Linked DNA regions of Notamacropus eugenii. The protein of the gene in region 2 interacts with the protein of the main gene of each other region in a pairwise test. Links are inferred from orthologs where the notes say so. Each region holds a gene or a part of one and is shown on either strand. Other genes may lie near its edges.

Region 1 (9,558 bases), on a different chromosome or scaffold from region 2:
TTAAAAAAGTTAAAAACATTTTCTAGCTGGTAGAGATGACAGCCCTGCTTACGCAGTATTTGTGACACTAGGATAAAAGGACATTCAACTCAAAAAGAAAAGCAGTTTCATTTGCCCCAAGATTCACCTTTTTCTAATGTTCTTCTTAATAGCAGGATCCATGGTCTTCATCTGCCTAGAGTCAACGATACAGAAATAAGCCAGTAAACAACCCGAGTGTCATTTGCATTGAGACTCACTGACTGTTAAAGATGCAGGAGTCCTTAGCAATCATCTAATTCTTCCTTACTATGAATCTAATGGAAACAATGGCCCTCAGTCTGGAGACTACAAGCTACACCTGGTAGTAGCACTTCCTCGGAGGTCCTCCAAACTTATTTCTAACCATCTTCAAATCTCAGGGCTAAAGTAAAGCCTCATTTATCTTAGCTCAAACTGTTAGCAGGAACTCTGGATTTCCCATTATAAAGGGAAAAAGGTTAACAAAAGAAAACCCATCCCACTGCAATGAGTTTAACTTCAAAGTTAGGGCTCAATTCAAATAAATGTGGCTTACTAATTGTTCTGTTTCCAGTTCCACTTGTATCTACTTTTTGGTAAGGACATGTAAAAGGTTGTGATGAGAGAGGAAAGGACAGCTTCAAAACACCTTCTGTTAGTGACTTCAATTTGTCTTTTCCAGAACAGATCTCTAAGGGGGTTGGGAGACTGACAAAGGAACTGTGCGCTGCTCAACAACAGTGTACATTAATACATTTCTCATGTTCTACTCAAAACCTCCTTTTCAGGGTCAGGTCATTTGAAGTCACTTCTGACAAAATTATCCATTTAAGTGCAACCGTCTATTTCTATGTTCTGACCTCTGTTTGGTAGTTTTGTACAATTCATTCTCTAGACCTGTTGAGCTGAGGGCCTTGTGGAGTTCTACTTCTTTGCACCTCTGGGGTATCTGACTCTTAGAAGCAGCCCGAGAATGTGTTTCTGTGAAAGGAAAATTAAGAGGGTGAAAACCCAACCAACGTAACCCAATTCTAATATCATGGTCAGTGTTTTAATCCAAATTGCCATGTCCTAATTGAGTCAACTTCATTCTAGGAAGAGCAGCTTTGAATCACTGAATTTTAATCTCCTTGGGATAAAAAGGCCATATCTAAGTAACACTACCCAAAATAATACATGGACTCTTTGAGTACTCATCTGAGGATCTCTAAGGCTGGAAGAGATAAAAAGGGTATAAACGTAACATGGTGGCTAATATAAGCGAAAGGAATAAGATTTAAAAAAAGAATGAAGATAGGAAGGTGGAGAATACAGGCTTAAACTCCCTAAACACACCATAGCTATATTTCATAATTTGCTGGAACTATTTAATGGGTCTTAGCTACTTTATTTCATTTCTTTTTAAAAAATAAATTTTTATTAACAACTTTTTTTTTTACAAGATTACTTTTTAAAACGGAGACTTTTTTACGCTTTTATTTCAGTTCCAAATTTCCTTCTCTCTCCCTACTCCCCCCTCCCCAATCCACTGAGAAGAAAACAAAACCCATTACAAATTCAGTTATGCAAAACTAATTTCCACATCAAGCTTGTTTCAAAAAAAGCCAGGAAAAGAAAGAAGGATGAAATATGCTTCAAATCTGCACTCTGGGTCAACTGGTTATCTTTCTGGACAGCATTCTGTGATGAATCTTTGGAATTGTGATGACTTGTTGCGTTCATCAAAATTACCAAGTCTTTTAAAGCTGATTACCTTCACAATATTACCGTAACTGGACAGGTTATTCTCCTGGTCCTGCTCATTTCGCTTTGCATCAGTTCATACAAGTCTGGATGTTAGAGGTGGGATTTGAACCTATTATTCACAGGATCACTACCCTAATTCAAGCTTACACCATCTTTTACCTGCACTCTAACAACAGCCTCCTAATTAGTCTCCCAGCATCCAGTTTCTACTCTTTTCAAGTTCCCTAGCCTGTAACTGGAAGGCTCTTCTTTCCCTCATTCAAAATGAGGACAATTGTTACCTCCAATTCTATGGCACCTCTCCCATTCTCTAAAATTCTTCAAAGATTATTTACATCAGTTTAGCAATCACTTCTACCAATTTTTTCATGTACTGACTGTTGTGGTAGTCCAAGTCTGGGGACTTGAGGGCAGCCAGATGCTTTCTTACAAACAAATGCCTTACTTAACTTCAACTTCAACTCTGTATCAGCCATGTTAGTCTGTATTTGTACAGGTAGGGAGTCACCACTCTTCTGGATTTATCCTCTGACACCTACTTTCTCTTGCACCTTTAATATATGTCTTTTAAAAGTCCAAGTCAGTAGGTTCTCAGTGTATCCACACTAGCACTCTGTAAAGCAATGTGCTAAGGGCTAGAACTATGAAGACAAAAAGAAAAACCACCCTTGCTCTCCAGACACATGCTTTTGTGCTTCTGGAGGAGGAGGGAGAGGAGAACAGGCTATGAAGAGTTTTGCATGCCAAAGAGGATTTCATATTTGATCCCAGAAGTGACAAGCAATTGCTGGAGTTCAATAAGAAATCAGTGACATGGTTATGTTTCCTATGTTTAGGAAAAACACTCTGCCAGCTTAGTGATGGATGGATTAGAATGGGGAGAAACTTGTGGCAGTATGCTATGGCAAAAATTCAGGTATAAGTGGCACCAGGCTAGTGGCAGCATCAGAGAAGAGGGGGGTACATATGCAATAGATGTTAAGAGGGTAAAAACAACAGGTAATGGCAACGGATTGGACATGGGGGTGGAGGGGTAAGGTAAGAGGAGGAGGGGATGATAGGCAGGTGGTGAGCCTTGGTGACTAGACTCCTGATAGTATCCTCTACACAGTAACAGCCAAGTTAGAAAGAAGGGAAGGTCTGATAGAAAAGATAATGAGTTCAGTTTTGGAGATGTTGAGTTTAAGATGTTCACAGAACAACCAGTTGGATCCTGGGTCATCTCCAGTCATCCTGAAGACTATCTGGTCACCGGATCCAGATGGCTCTGGAGGAGAAGTGAGGCTGGGGACCTGCACAGCCCTCCCTCACTCAAAACAAAGTCAAGTGCAAGGGACGTCATCATTCTCTTCCAAAATGAAGAACACACGCAGACAGACAGTCAGTGAGGTGAGGGCGGACCTGGGGCTAGACAGTAGATCTGAGGGACATGTTCCGTAGGCATGATAACTGGATCTGTCAGAGCTAACAAGATCCCCGAGGGAATCAGTAATGAAGGCGCCCAAGTGCCAGCTCCTTGAAAAGGCTTTTCCTAATTCCTCTAGTTAGTGAACTAGCTGGGAGACCTTGGGCAAGTCACTCAACCTCATCTGTGAAATGGGGATGCCAATAGGGTCGTTGCGATAAAGGTAAAGGGCTTGGCACTGCACCTGGCATCCGTTAAGTGTTACATAAACATTAGCCATCATTAGTATCTACCTGCGCTCCCCGCCACCCCCACCCCGTTACAGCGCGGTATTAGCCCTAGCAAACCTCGGGGCCTCCCGGGATGCCCAGGGCCCAGGGCACACACAGTGGGCGCTTTACGGATGCTGGCGGAAGGCCACGACCCGGCCCCGGTACTCACCCGCGGGCTGCCCTCCGCCCAACGCAGGCCTGGCGGTGCTGGCTCTCGAGGCGCGGCCGGACTGGACCCTGGAGGGAAGGGGGCTCCATTGGGAGAGGCGCCCCGGCGGGCTGCGGGCGGGAGGGCACCCGCCGCCACCCCAGCCCCCCGCGGGGCCCGGCCCGCCGCCCCCCCAGCCCCCCAGCCCCCCGCGGGGCCCGGCCCGCCGCCCCCCCAGCCCCCCGCGGGGCCCGGCCCACCGCCCCTCAGCCCCCCCGGGGCCCAGGCCTCCCCCTCAGCACCCCCGGGGCCCGGCCCGCCCCCCCTCAGCCCCCTCCCCGGGACCCGGCCCGCCGCCCCTCAGCCCCCCCGGGGCCCAGGCCTCCCCCTCAGCCCCCCCGGGGCCCGGCCCGCCGCCCCCTCAGCCCCCGGGTCCCCGCTTCCTTCCAAGCCGTCTCTTACCCCGGACGCTCCCCGGCCGAAGCCGGGTCCCCGACCCCCGGTCTGCACCCGCTCTCCATCACCACTCACGCTCGGGCACAGGAACCGCCAGCCCAGGCGCCGCCGGTATTTCAAACAGAAACTTCCGGTGGAAGGGGGCGGGGCCGGCTCTGAGTCCCGGAGGCAGCCATGCTGTACGGAGGAAACCTACAGGAACGAGAGCGAGGGGGCCGCCATGTTGTACGGCTGGCCGGGGCTGGAGCGTGGTGGGAGGTTTGGGAAAGGCTGGGGTGAGCTCGTCAGGATGTGGAGTTGGAAGGAACGATCGCTGGAGAAGGCCTTGGGGCGAGGGCACGGTGACCTTGACTGGGGACATCAAAGACTCTCTAGTCCAAGTCCCCCATTTTACAGACGGAGAAACTGAGGCACTGAGAGGTGTCTTGATTTTCCCAGGGATACAAGACTAGCTAGTGAGTGCCAAGGGTAGCATTTCGAAGCAAGACTTCCTGGCTCCCAAACCCAGCGTCCTATCCACTGCACAGTGGGTTTAATAAAGGATCTTGTTTAATCAAGAATTGGAAGATCTACCTGGGCTTGCCCAAGCCTTCATCAGGGATCCCAGACAACTCAGCATCAGATGAATTAATATATGGAATACCTTTGTGACCTTAAAGCAAAGGTTCTTCACCTGGGCTCCACAGACCCCCCAGAGGGGTCCAGGGATATAGGTTTGATGAGGTTCATGAACTTGAATGGGGGAAAAAATACACCTTTATTTTTACTAACCTCTAACTGAAATTAAGCTTCTCCTACAATTATTTTAAAGCATCATGCTGAGACAGGGTCCATTGGCTTCATTGGACTGCCAAAGGGGTCCATGACCCCAAAAGAGGTTAAGAGTTATGCTAATAGTTCTTATATACTATATGAATATATGCCAGTATATATATATGTATATATATGTGTGTGTGTATACATATATATGTGCGTATATATGTATGTGTATATATACATATATATGTACCACTATATAAAAGTGGTACAATGGAAAGGCTTCCAGCTTTATATCTAGGATTTTGTGTTGTCGTTGTTAATCATTCATCATTAATTACATTGCTTGGTTGCCAGAATTCTTCTTGAATTTTGGCATAAAATCCAATTTCTTAAGACTGGGAGAGGGTGGAAAATTAAGGAGGTGAACAGTCAGATTGAAAGATAGTCCAGAATCCATATGCATACCAGTTATCTCATTAAATAATGTGAATTATTTATAAAGAATGAGAACATATTTATGAAAATTATTTATAAACAACAATCATGCTATATAAATAATATCTTATATATGTGTTATTGTAGTTTAGTTGTTTTCAGTTGTGTCCAACTCTTTGTGACCCGTTTTTGGGATTTTCTTGGCAAAGATACTGGAGTTTGCCATTTCCTTCTCCAGTTCATTTTACAGAGAAGGAATTGACACAAAGAGGGTTAAATGACTTTGCCCAGGGTTACACAGCTAGTAAGTGTCTGAAGCTGGATTTAAACTCAGGTCTTCCTGACTCCAAGCCTGGCACTCTATCCACTATGCTACAAGTTACCTCTTTACGTAAGTGTTACTATTCTTTAAATATTTGCTATTGTGATTATTAAAATACAAATTAATTTGAAGGTATTATTGAATTAATAGCAGCTTTTTTAGATTTTAAAAAATTGTTTAATTTGTATTGCCATCTTTTGTTTTTACACCACTTTTATTTCTGAATATGAGTGTTTCCCTCCTCTTCCCTAGTTTGTGTTGTATTCATTAATAATAAAGAAAAAACAGAGGGGTTTAAAGCAGCTCAGTGGATTAAACTACATTGACTGCGTCTGACAATATGTGCACTGTTGCACGCCCATAGTCCTCCTATATTTGCATTTTTTTATTTAGCAAAAATCTATCTTCTTACCTCCCCTCATCTAATCTGTGCACCCCCCAAATTAAGAGCCAAAGAAAAATAAGATCCTAGTTATAAACAAGTGTATCAAGCAAAACAAATTTTTACATGGACTTTGTTCCAAAAAAAAAGTTTCTTTTTCACTGAGTCTGTCATCAGGAAAGAGGTAGCATTTCATCATTAGTTCTCTGCAATAGTGTTTAGTCATCCTGCTGATCCAAGCTGCTAATTCTTTCATATTGTTGTCATTGCATTAATTCATGGCCATTGGAACAAATTGTTCTCATCCGCCCATTCCACCAGAGAAAGTCTTCACATACTTGAGGTACACACCTCCCTAACTCACCTGTGGGTGTGAGAACCCTTGGTTACCCTCAACCTGGTTTGGCCAGTCTGCCTCAATGGTTTACCCGGGTGTGGCCGCTGAGCATGCTGCAGCTTCTTGGAGCCACAGGTGAGAGTTGGGTGGAACAGGTGGACACCAAAGGTGGAAAGAGCCCTGAAAAGGACTTGGCAGCCATCACACCAAAGGTACCGGTCCTCCCTGAACACACGTGATGCACACATTGCCAGAGCTGGCTCAGCGTTTGGGAGGCTCCGAAGAAAAGTTTGGGAGAGAAGAGGCATTAAACTGACTACCAAATTGAAGGTCTACAGAGCTGTTGTGTTGCCCTCATTGTTATATGCTTGTGAAACATGGACAGTCTACCAGCGCCATGCCAGGAAACTGAATCACTTCCATTTGAACTGTCTTAGGAAGATTCTGAGGATCACCTGGTAGGATAAGGTACCAGATACTGAAGTCCTTGCTCGAGCTGAACTGCCAAACCATGCTCCAGAGAACGCAACTCCAATGGGCTGGCCATGTTGTTCGAATGTGAAATGTATGCTTGCCAAAAAGACTTATTTTATGGAGAACTCGCGTGGGGCAGGTGTTCCACATGGTGGGAAGAAGAAGCAATACAAGGATACTCTCAAGGTCTCTCTCAAGAACTCTGGATTTGACTGTGCAACATGGGAGACACTGGCACAGGACCCGCTCAGCATGGTGTGCCCACATCCGAAAGGGTGCTGTGCTCTTTGAGCAAAGCAGAATTGAGACAGCACAAAGTAAACGCAGGATGCGCAAATTTGGAGTATCCACCCCAAATATTCACATGGACAATCTGTGCCCAACCTGTGGTACAGTATTCTGAGATCTTATTGGTCTCATCAGCCACAGTCAGACACACTGAATTTCACTGTAATATGGTGATGTCATTTTGGTCCTCTGCGAAGACAAAGGACAGCAACCATTATATTAATTAATCACTCTCCCGATTGTGTTCACTTCATTCTGCTTCAGTTCATGCAAATCTCCCCAGGTGTCTCTGAAACCATTATCTTCATTACTTCTTGCACACCACAATAGTTCATCACGTTTACATACCAGAACATATTTAGCCACTCCTCAATTTATGAGCACCCCTCAGATTCCCATTTTTATCACCTTAAAAAGAGCTACAAATACTTTGTACAACCTTAGTTTGTTTGTACTAGTTTGTTAGTACTAATTCCTCCCTTAATCTATCCTCCCTCCAATTCACCCCTCCTCTTTTTTTCCTCCTATTGTGTGAAATGCATTTCTGTACCCAACTCTGAGTGTGATAGGAAAATGAGATTGAAGCATCATCCATCCCCTATCCCCACCTCCTTGTTTGTATAGATGTCTACTTGTGTGCCCTGATTAGGTGAGATAATTTCCCCTAACCTTCTTTCCTCTTTCCCTTACATTGCCCCAAGTGTATTCCTCTTCCCGTCTCTTTACATACTTCTTTTAAGATCATCAAGACGTAACAGAACCACTTCCACGTCTTCTGTCTAATAAGATTCACTCTCTGACCCCTGACAGATCTCATAAGGGACACGTATTATCTCCCCATATTAGGAAGCAAGCAGTTTACCTTGTGCAGTCCCTTAGCATTGTTTATTTCCTTGCCTTTTTAGCTTTCTCTTAATTCTTGTGTTTGAACTTCAAAATTGCTACCAAGATCTGGACTTTTCATCAGGAATGCTTTGAAGTCTTCTACTTCATTAAAGGTCCGTTCCACCCCCATCCCCTCCCATCCATCCCCCTGTAGCATTATATTCAATTTGCTGTATAAGTTATATATCCTTTGCTTTCTGGAGTATTGTGTTCCAAGTTATCCATTCATTTATAGTGGTAGCCACTAAATCATATAGGAGTCTGACTCTGACTCCTTGGTACTTGAATTCTTTCTTTTTTGACTGCTTGTAGTGTTTTGTTCTTTTTTTCTTTGTTTCTTGGTTATTCTTTCATCTGGAAGTTTTGGATTTTGACCATAATGTTCCAAAGCTTTCATTTTGGAGTTTCTTTCAGGAGGTGACTAGTAGATTCTTTCAATTTCCACTTTGCTTTCTGATTCTAAGGCAGGAATGGGTAACCAGTGACCTCAAGGCCACATGTGACCATGAGGCCACAGGTTCCCCACCCCTGTTTTAAGGAATCTGGGTAGTTTTCTTTTAAGGTTTCTTGAAATGTTATGTCCAAGCTTTTGTCCTGGTCATGGCATACAGATAGTCCAATGATTCTTAATTTATTTTTTTCTCCTTGATCTATTTTCCATGTTTGTTGCTTTTTGCTATGAGATATCTTACATTTTCTTCTATTCTCTCATCTTTTGACTTTGTTTTGATATTTCTTGTTGCCTCATGGAGTCACTGGCTTCTATTTAGCACTTTCTAATTTTCAGCGAGTTTGTTGCTTCAACAAGGTTTTGTCCCTCTTGTGACAAGCTATTGGTTTCTTTACTAATTTTTTCTTCCATAGCTCTCATTTCCTTTCCAATTGTTTACTCAAGTGTCTCATCTTATTTATTTTTGTAAGTTTTAAAGTTGTGTTATACTAGGAACTCAAGGACAGGCTGGAGATCTGCAAGTTTTTCAGCATTCCACAAATGGTCTGATCTAGGGCAAAGTTTGATTGTTGCCATCCTGATCTGATCTATGAAAGTTCCTGATCTGAATTTGGCTTGAGCAACAATAGAGAGTTATTGGACACAACTCTTATCAGCTAGCAGGAAAGCTTTGCCAGTTCAATGATTGAACTGCGTCCTTTGCTCACCTTTGGCCTGAGATTCCTGCCCTGGCTGTTCTAGAGGCTTCAGACTAAGCTAGATGCTAGAAATGAGATGCCTTTCTGCTCCAATGAACAAGCTTCCACTTGATTCTGAATTTGCTCCTTTCTTGGCACATCACCTGTTTACCATTGGCACACCACATCTGAGAACATCATTTCTGGGTGCAGATTCTCTTTTAGTCTGCCTTGGATCTGTGGCCTAACATGGGGTGTTGGGCACTGCCAGTTGACACCTGTTTCTGCATCCTTCATACAGTTCCTCCTCTTGTCCAAAGGCAGAGCCTCTTCCTGAGCTCCCATATGCATTATACTCCTGACCCGATCCCACCACCATGTCTGCAGAATTTTCTGTCTTTCTATATGCTGATCTGGGCTGGACAAATGACTCACTATGACTTTTTCTGGATTTTCCCATCTGTATTTGTTGTAGTTTTTAGATCCATTTGGAGGAGTTTGGGATGGTGGAGAAGCTCTGC
Region 2 (9,210 bases):
CTTGCATGTATCTTAGATTTTTTCCCCTCTCTCCCCCTCCTTTCCCACCACCTCCCCAAGATGGCGTGCCATCTTATATAGGTTCTACACATATGTTCCTATTAAATACATTTTCACCGTAGTCATGTTGAATAATTAAAATGAATAGGAGAAACCATAAAACAAAACATAATACAAAAGAAAATGGTCTACTTCATTCTGCGATCCAGTTCCATAGTTCTTTCTCTGAATGTGAAAGGCGTTTTGCCTCAAAAATCCATTGGGAATTTTTTAGGTCCTTGCATTGCTATGAAGAACTAAATCTACAAGAAAAATTCCCCACACACTGTGGTTGTTGCTGTGCACAAAGTTCTCCTGGTTCTGCTCCTTTCACTCAGCATCATTTCGTATAAGTCCTTCCAGGCCTCTCTGAAGTCTTCCTGTTCATCATTTCTTATAGTACAATAGTATTCCATTACATTTCTATATCACAATTTGTTCAACCATTCCCCAATTGATGGGCATCCCCTCAATTTCCAGTTCTTGGCCACCACAAAGAGAGCTGCTATAAACATCTTTGTACATGAGACCCTTTCCCATTTTTATGATCTCTTTGGGATCTCGTATCTTCTTTAGGGCAAAATTTGTGCTGCAACACTTTAAGTGACAAGGAGCTCATTACCTCAATAGGGAGTGAGTGGGATAGGTTTAGTGAAGACTTCTCAGATTGTAATTCTTCTCCCAGGAGTGAGGTAAGACCTAGAGGCTCAAGGTTACAATATTTTTAGAATAGAATAGTTCCATATAAGGATATAAAACTGTGTAGTATATTAGGGTCTCAATGACTGGATAAAACTTATGTAATTCCTCGATGTCTTCATTTCAAAAGGGATTGGTTAGATTTCGTGTCTAGAATGTAAGATCATATTCTCAGCTAATGAGGATGATGGTCAGTGGGGGGAGGAGGGACTTGCATTAGGGTCTATATAAATCACTGCCCTTTTCTTTGTCTTCAGCTTTCCTACTCCTACAGGTTAGCCCCGCTTCTCGAGAATCGAATAAATCACTTTTCTGTCATCACTTTGAGAGTCCTCTGAGTAATTGATTTATGTAGGGACCTGAGCCATTCCACACAGTTGCCTATTTTATTGTTGGACAATTGTAACTGTTAGCAGTTAAAACTTCCTCTCTGTAACTTACATTCATTGTACAAGTTTTATTCTCTGGAGCCAAGGAGAATGTCTAATCCCACTTCCATATAACTCTTCAAATATTTGAAGACTCAACCAAACAAAATCTTGTATTGGACACAACACAATTTAAAAGGCATTGTTATTCATCATCATCACCATTATCATCATAATAATAAACAGCTAGCATTTATATACTTTAAGGTTTGCAAAGCAGTTTACAAATACCTCATTTTATTCTTACAAGCACCATTGGAGGTAGGTGTTTTTGTTATCCCTATTTTATTGATGAGGAACTTAAAGTAGACTAAGAAGTGACTTTCCCAGGGTCACACACCTAGTGTCTGAGTCAAGATTTAAACTCAGGTCTTCCTGACATTAAGTGAAATCCTCTAAGAAGAGAAGATTGTAAAAATGGTAAAAATCACAGCATTAATGTCAGAAAAGGTGCAAGAAGATATTAGGAGTTAGTTCATAGTTCTGCTTTTCACCTATGTCAGGTGTTTATGAAAATGATCTTTACACTTAGTAATGGGTGTTCTTCACGAAAATACCAAAATGGAACAAATAGAATTTCAAAGATGATTCTCTGCAGCAGACCACATCTTCATGTTGAAGTGCAGGGCATGGGTCTCAATGTTGTCTCAAAAGAATTCAGACTCAGACTGTCTCCAAATCAAGTAAGGGCATCGATTTGGAGTGATGCACCCAGTGGACTCTAATTCAGTGAGACAGCAGCAGCAGTCAGGAGAAGCTAGGGATTTTAATACAGGAAATGTGCCACGAGGGCAAGGAGATGAGGTAATCAGGAATATGCAGGCAAAGGGTGAAAGCTCAGAGTTCTGTGAATATCCTGTTCAGATAAGTCTTCATTTCATTGGCCAGCCCATTTGTCCAGGGCAGATCTCATTATTAATCTCATCATTCAGAGTTACAACACTGCTTGAGAGGTAGAATGAATTCAAGATCATTCTTGCCTTTCAAGCCTTCTTATACCTGGCTCACCACTACATACTCCGTGTTCCAGTAACGCTGGTCTTCTTGCTATTTCATGGACAAGATCTTTTAATCTCTGGGTCTGGGCATCTTCTCTGACTGTCCCTCATACCTGAAATGTCCTTCTTCATCTGCTTACTGCCTTCCCTGGCTTCCTTGTTAATACTATATGGTTGCAAATCATGAAATATGATGATCTACAAAAAAGCAAAGTTGTCCTCTATTCCTAGAAACACCAAAGAGCATGATGGTATTACAGGAGAAGGGGGGTGGCCCTCAGGATCTTGGAGCTAGAGGCCAAGGCAGTTTCTAGAAGGGCTTCAGCAGAATGAGATGAAGTTAAGATCGGGATGCCTCATATCTGTGGGCAAGGCTGGGCTAAGGCCAAAGCTTCAGGGCTTGGGGAGCAAAGGCCAAAAACAAGGTCCCCACACTGGACCAACCAGTCAAGGACATGAAAATCAAGACCTTAGAGGACATTTGTCTCTTCTCCTTTCCCATCAAGAAGTCTTGAATCCTGGGGGTCTTCTCTGAAGGATGAAGTCTGAAGATCATATCTGTAGACAAGTTGGCTTGGGTATCAAATGTCCCAAGGAAGTTCCTGTATCTGTGTCATCATCCTAGACACAGTGACCATTCAGCTTGCAAGATGTGGCCACTGAGGAAGCAAGATTAGCAAAGACACACACACACACACACACACACACGTATACACACTAGTGCCCCACAGTTTTGTCACTGACCATACTGAATCAGTCCTGATGAACCTGATTCCTACCTAAGGGAAGTCTCAGTTCCTGTGCCTAAAAAAACCCTTGGTGAAGGTCAGAATTGATGGTTGTTCTATTTTTTTTAACGGCTGTATTGCTACTCTGGACCCCTTTGCTAAAGCTACCTTTGATGCCATCTCTAAAACCCTCAGCTGTCTAATTTCTGGTTCATGGAAGGAGACTGTGTTTACTAAGTTTCCCTATAAGGAATTCATTCACCATCTTGTAAGGACAGATATCAGAGAAACCAGGCAATTGCCTGGCTACCTCATAAATGTCTTTGTAATAGCAAAAAATCAAATAAACTATGCCAATTTTTTAAACTTCAGAATTATAGATGATCCAAAGAAAAATGGAAGGATAAAGCAGAAGTATAAGTAGGCTGCAATATTAACTACAATTTGCTTTCAATAAGTGGCAAAGAAGTCATTTATAACATGTAAAACTGTAAAAGTAGGTAGTTCAGGCACATATAGAGAAAGGGAAATAACACTTGGAAGCCTTGAGTATTACGCTGGTGTCCTTAATATTTTAAAAGACCCAGAGGCTGTGTGACCTTGGGTAAGTCACATAACCTCCCTCCCTGAGCCTCAGTTTCTTCATCTATAAAAAGAAGATGGTGATAGTTATACCTAAATGACTCAGAGAAAGGACTCTGTTACACTGGGCAGGTCTTTTGTGGAGAATTTATGGAAAGACACAGGTAATATTTACACACAATACGGAAGCCTGGGTGTGTTCTTTATAAATGGAGGGAGTACAGGTACAAATGGGTTCTCAGATTCATTGCTCTAGAACTTCTTTCCAATTTCTTTAAATGTTCTACATTTGACATGGATGGTGAGTGTGCCCTCTCCCTCTCTAATAGAAGCAGGCCTGCTACATCTCCTCTGAGGATTCTAGGGTAACCTGAGGAATTGAGTATCCTTTTTTTTTTTCTTAACATCAGCTGAAGCACCCACCAACTGTGTTACTAATGTGGATTACTTAAGGGCCAGTGACTAGAGCCCTTCATTCATTTAACTTCTTAATATCAGGTAGCTTTTACAAAGGATATTTATTTCAGACATAGAAAGAACAAATTTTTAAACATTTTCCCCAGTCCCTCCACAGAACACTCTTCCCTACACTACCTTGGTCTTTAGGAGAATAGATTCAAAACTTAACTCAGTTCCTAGACAGCATTGCTCTTGCCAAGTTCACAGCCAAATGCAGCATCAATTCTGATGAAGTCCGGTTACAGATTTTGACATGGATCTAAAAGCTTCTTTGGGGCATCAGTACTGGACTGGTGGCAACACCCAGCCTGGAACTCAGGTTCTGGAATGCCAAGATGATAGGATGTCTTCATGATGACCTTTTAAACTTACTAGGTTGTAAGATTTCATTCCCTTCAACTAGAACAGACAAAGAACAAATGAAAAGTCCAAGGACCCAAACCCATTTCTATCAGAGGAGCACTGGGGGGCATATGGGAAAAGGTTCTAAGACCATTACTTATATAGAATGCTCTCTTGCCAGACACTGGTGTAGTAGCTTCCCAAGGTACTAATGAAACAAAAGCTGACTCAAGTCTTTTTAAAGTTCTGACAGCTCTAGCTATGTGGCTCTTTGAAAAAGGGCCCTTCCAACCATGTGGTCAACCAACCAGAACCAGTACTTTTGTCTACACACGCTCCATAGTCTCTTCCCCAAAGAACATCATCACAATTTTCCCAGAAGTCATTTCTCCAGTGTCCTCCATGTAGAGAGGTTACATCACCAAGCAAGCTAATGGGGTCTACATGTGCACCAAACTATCATCATGCATAGTTCAAAAGTTCCTTGTTATCCTGGTCTCCTTCCTCTGGACCCAACCCGTGGGTGTTCAGAAGGCAATTGTTCACAGAATATTACCCTGTGGGATTGTGAGGATGAAAAAGACTGGATACAAATCTTTCCCTGACTGCATCTGACCATCCCATGCTTGGCTGCCAAGTGTCAATGGGTCATTCTAACCTGTCCTCATGTAGTTGCATGCCATTCACTGCCACCACCACTACTACCCATTGAAAAAAGAAACGATCACCTCTCTGTCAGGAATTGGGTAGCACACTTCATCACTGGTCCTCTGGAATCATCTCTACCGCACTTTTACTTGTGTTTTTACCATTGCTTGAAAATCCTCCACTCCTCCCGGATCTCCATTTACCAGACTATTTCATTCTTAAAACCACACTTCCAGTCCTATCTCAGTGCTTCCTCTAACTGCTTTCCCTCATATTTCCCATCTAGAATACTGTGTTTGTACTCTTATAAACCCAATCACATTCTGCTTTATAGTTATTCCCCCAAAGACTTGGAAACTGCCTGTTGTTTTTGGTTTTTTTAACTCACATTTCTATACTACTGTGAGGTTTGTAAGGCACTTTCCTCAGAGTAACCTTTTAAGACAGGTAACCTTTTTTTACAGATGAGGGAACTGAGGATAAGGAATTTGCCTAAGATCACAGCTAGCAAGTAGTAGAGTTGGGATATTCTGCTCTTTTCTTTAAAGGCTGGGGTGGTGATATCTAACATATCTTTGGATCTCTTTCTGCTTCGAGGACTTGCAGATGATATTGCTCAAAAGATATTTGTTAAATGAATGCCTGACATGGACCCCCTCACGTTTTTGACAGACCTTTATCTGTATTTGGTTTGTCAAAGCCTCAAAGGAAGGATCAAGGGGATTTTTATCTCTTTTTTTCCTTCCCACCCCTCTAGGCCACCAATCCATAGTAAGTTTGTTGGATGAAGAAAGACCTGGGTACTGAACTCTTCCCAGTCCTAGGAGGTTGTTTGTCCCTAGATTCTCCTCCTCTCCTCCTTTCCCCTTATTTTTTCTTCTCATTTTCTCCTTTCTTGTGCTCTTCTACTCCCAAAGACCCCAGAACCCTGAAATAAGAGTTACCCTGTGTGAAAATATCCAAATGGGAGGGAACCTGAGGAGAACAGAAAGGAGAAAAAGGAACAACTGCTGGGGAGGTGGGGGGTGGTGTGGGGAGTCATGAGACAGAAGACTTTTCCTGTTGTGATTTCATTTCTGTTTTTACTGGATACTGGAGTACTGGAATGGGGCCAGATTGCATCAGACTAGGCCAACGTGGATTATGTGAGGGGAGGAAACCCAGCCTTATAAATTTGGGGAGGAGCTGTCTCAAGGAGAAGCAAAGCCCTGAGACAGAGAGAAACAGAAATTCACAAACAAGAAATCAGATAGACTAGTCCCTGAAGGGACAGAATTCTCCAGTCCTAATGGCCACAGCTCCATTAGCTGCTCCACCACTCCATCGCCTGACCTTAGACGATGAGGAGTCCGAGTGCTTGGACCAATATGACATATACAGCTTTACAGATTCTTATTTGGGTGAGAGATGTGACCCCACCTTCCTTACCTAGATGCCCACTCATTCTAGCTTCCTCTCTAGTACCCCTAGTTTCAGTCCTCTCCCTATCCAGACTCAGCTCTGTATCTCTAGAACATTTTTTCCTAATATTTTCCTGATATTTTCAGACTGCCTGTGGATTTCAATCTAACCATCTCTACCCATCTGATACCTATCTCCACCCTCTATCCACTTAATTTCAATCCTAAATACTAGCCAGTCCCACAAACAACCCTATAGAATCCTTTGCCACGTGTCCTTATCTCAGCCCTCTCAGCATCTTTATTTCCCATCATGGCTCAGCTCATTGTTTTAGAGACCTTCCTTATCCCTCCAGTTTTTAGATCTCCTACCCTCTTCAAATTATCTTATATTCATTTATCCATGTACATGTTGTTCCCCATTAGAACATAAGTTCTTTAAAGGCAAGGATATTTTGTTTTTTCCTTTGGATCTCCAGTACTGAGTGCAGTACCTTGCACGTAGAAGATGTTTGCTGAATTGAATTATACTTATCTGAGAAACTGTCTAATCCAAACTCTGAGTTTTATAGAGGGGGCTGAGAAGAATGAAATGGTTTGCCCAAATTTACACAGCAAGTTAAGGAGACATCCAAAAATAGGACTCAGGTCTCCTGCTTCCAGTCCAGTATTCTTCCCCCTCACATCTCTAACTCTCTTTTTGTTGGTCTCTGCAACCATGGGTACCAAGTGGCTTCCACCCACTATGTTCTCTGAGCAGCTCATTCTTAGGACTATTGCTTTCTATTTCAGGAAGAGGGAGTGGGAAGGGTCGTACCAAAAGAGAAGCTGCTAACCATACCAACCGACCCAGCCCAGGTGGCCATGAGCGGAAGCTGCTGACCAAGCTTCAGAACACAGAACAAAAGAAACGTGGCACTAGACCCTGAGCCTAGAATCCTGAGGTAAGGGAGCCCAGAACCCCCATTCAGATCTCTCCCAACCGAATATATGGGCTGACACACTAGGAAAAAAATGGTATCCAACTCTAAGTTTCAGAGCCAGCTGGGAGATATGACCCCTAAAGTCTAGGAAAAAACCCTAGAGTCCTAGAAGGTCCCCTAAAGTTGGGAAACTTAGACTCACTGGTCTCAACCTCTAAAGATCTCTTTTTCTTCCAGGCTGGGCCTGAGTACTGATACCAAGATCACGGCTATGGACATACGACATTGAAGACAGGGCAAGAGAGATTGAATCTTAATCTTCCCTGACAGCCTTATCTCAAGAAATGTGCCCTCCGAAGCCTAGCTGGAGTTTGGAAGGGTCTAGCAAGTGAGTTCCTTTAGCACTTGCAGAAGGGATGAGGAGGAGCAGATGGTAGGAATGGATGAACTGGGAGGAACAGGAGGAAAGGGAGAATCTACCTGAAGAAACTGTCTATCAAAGGACAGAGGTTACAATAAAGAATCAATCAGAAGGTTGTGTGTGTGTGTGTGTGTGTGTGGTTGATTTCAAGTCTCCAATGTTTACGAAAACACCCTCTCTCCTCTTCTCCTCCTTCTCCCTAGTGCCCTCCAAAATGATAAGAGGGCCACAAAAACATCTCTTCCTACTCATTTCAGGCTTATAAGATCAAGCCCTTTCAGCTGTTATTTCCATCAAATGCTGGAAACTCTGTAAGGCTGGTGTCAGAAAAGAACTTACAACCTTGACCTTTGTGATTCTGATTTTGCTGTATGGCTATAGACAGTGAACCTGGGGAAAAGATTCCAGGAATTCTTAGCACATTAAGAAAATTGATACCTTCTTTAAACTAACAGTCTATAAGCAAAGAATTTAGAACAGTGAAGAGAAAGTATATGAGGAGAAGGATATGAGAGTGGCAATGGGATATTGGGGACAAAGAATCAGCCCTTAGAGTCAGGAAGACCTGGGTTCAAGTTCTCTTCTCCTCCCATCCACCCACACTAACTGACCCCAGGCAGGTCCCTTTATCTCCCTGTGCTCCAAGAATCTCCCTGAGACTTTAAGTTTCAGAGCAGATACCAACCTGCATTGATAGGAGGAGTTTTCTTGCTGAGAGTTCGCTATACCAATGAAATTAGGTCCAGTCCAAAAGATGAAATATTTTGTTCTGGTTTTTAAAGAAAGAAGTTATATCTGAGGAGTCAACTTGGAGTATTTAAAGAAACATATTCTGCATCTAGGGTAATGATAGAAGAGATAAAACACTCTGGAATGATTGTGAGAACAATCAATCAACTTTTATTAAGCACCTATTACGTGCTGGACACTGTACGAAATACTGGGGATACAAAAAAAGACAAAAGACCATCATTTCCTACAAGTAACTTACAATCTAATGGGGAGACAACATGCAAATACGTAGAAAGCTTAAGTACAAAGTCAACTGAAAGTCATGTCATCATCTTGAACACAACATACAAAGCAAGCTTTGTAATAGGAAATACTTAACAGAAGGAAAGCACTCGAATTAAGTGGGGTGGGGTGAGATTCTGCCACCTAATAAATGGGCTGTACTATAACCAAGCAATCCTACTTCCTCCAAGTCATGTTTGATGGTCAGGACCCTCTCTGCTTTGGTGGCTGTAAAAAAGCCAATCACAGGCAGCACACCTGAAGACTGCTGCTGTGAATGATTTCAAGGGTCTAATGTGTAATAGTGATGTCCTTAAGTAAAACATGTCATTCAATCAATATTAAGTATCCAAGTAAAGTCCTTTTTCAAAATATCCCATTATCCACCACTAGGTCACTGTAAAAACAGTCTTCTCAATCGGTATCAGGTGTCCAGGTGAAATCCTCTTTCATCTTAATACAAGGTTGGCTTCCAAGTCCCATGGCTCTTTGTCAGTGGCCTGACCACTCCTGACTCTCCCTGCATTCA

The links.
Region 1: the proteins of NUPR1 (region 2) and KNSTRN interact in a two-hybrid assay, tested with the Homo sapiens proteins (2 studies listed by BioGRID and IntAct). The link is inferred for Notamacropus eugenii from reciprocal best matches to the Homo sapiens genes NUPR1 and KNSTRN.

What each region holds. Positions count from the first base shown.
Region 1 is NC_092878.1:26,427,884-26,437,441, reverse strand, and holds the start of KNSTRN (small kinetochore-associated protein), read right to left. Parts: upstream 4,153-9,558; 5' UTR 4,093-4,152; coding exon 4,034-4,092; intron 3,661-4,033; coding exon 3,593-3,660; intron 982-3,592; coding exon 861-981; intron 176-860; coding exon 128-175; intron 1-127. UniProt on the Homo sapiens protein: Essential component of the mitotic spindle required for faithful chromosome segregation and progression into anaphase.
Region 2 is NC_092872.1:46,708,929-46,718,138, reverse strand, and holds NUPR1 (nuclear protein 1), read left to right. Parts: upstream 1-6,113; 5' UTR 6,114-6,211; coding exon 6,212-6,323; intron 6,324-7,115; coding exon 7,116-7,252; 3' UTR 7,253-7,267; intron 7,268-7,483; 3' UTR 7,484-7,779; downstream 7,780-9,210. UniProt on the Homo sapiens protein: Transcription regulator that converts stress signals into a program of gene expression that empowers cells with resistance to the stress induced by a change in their microenvironment.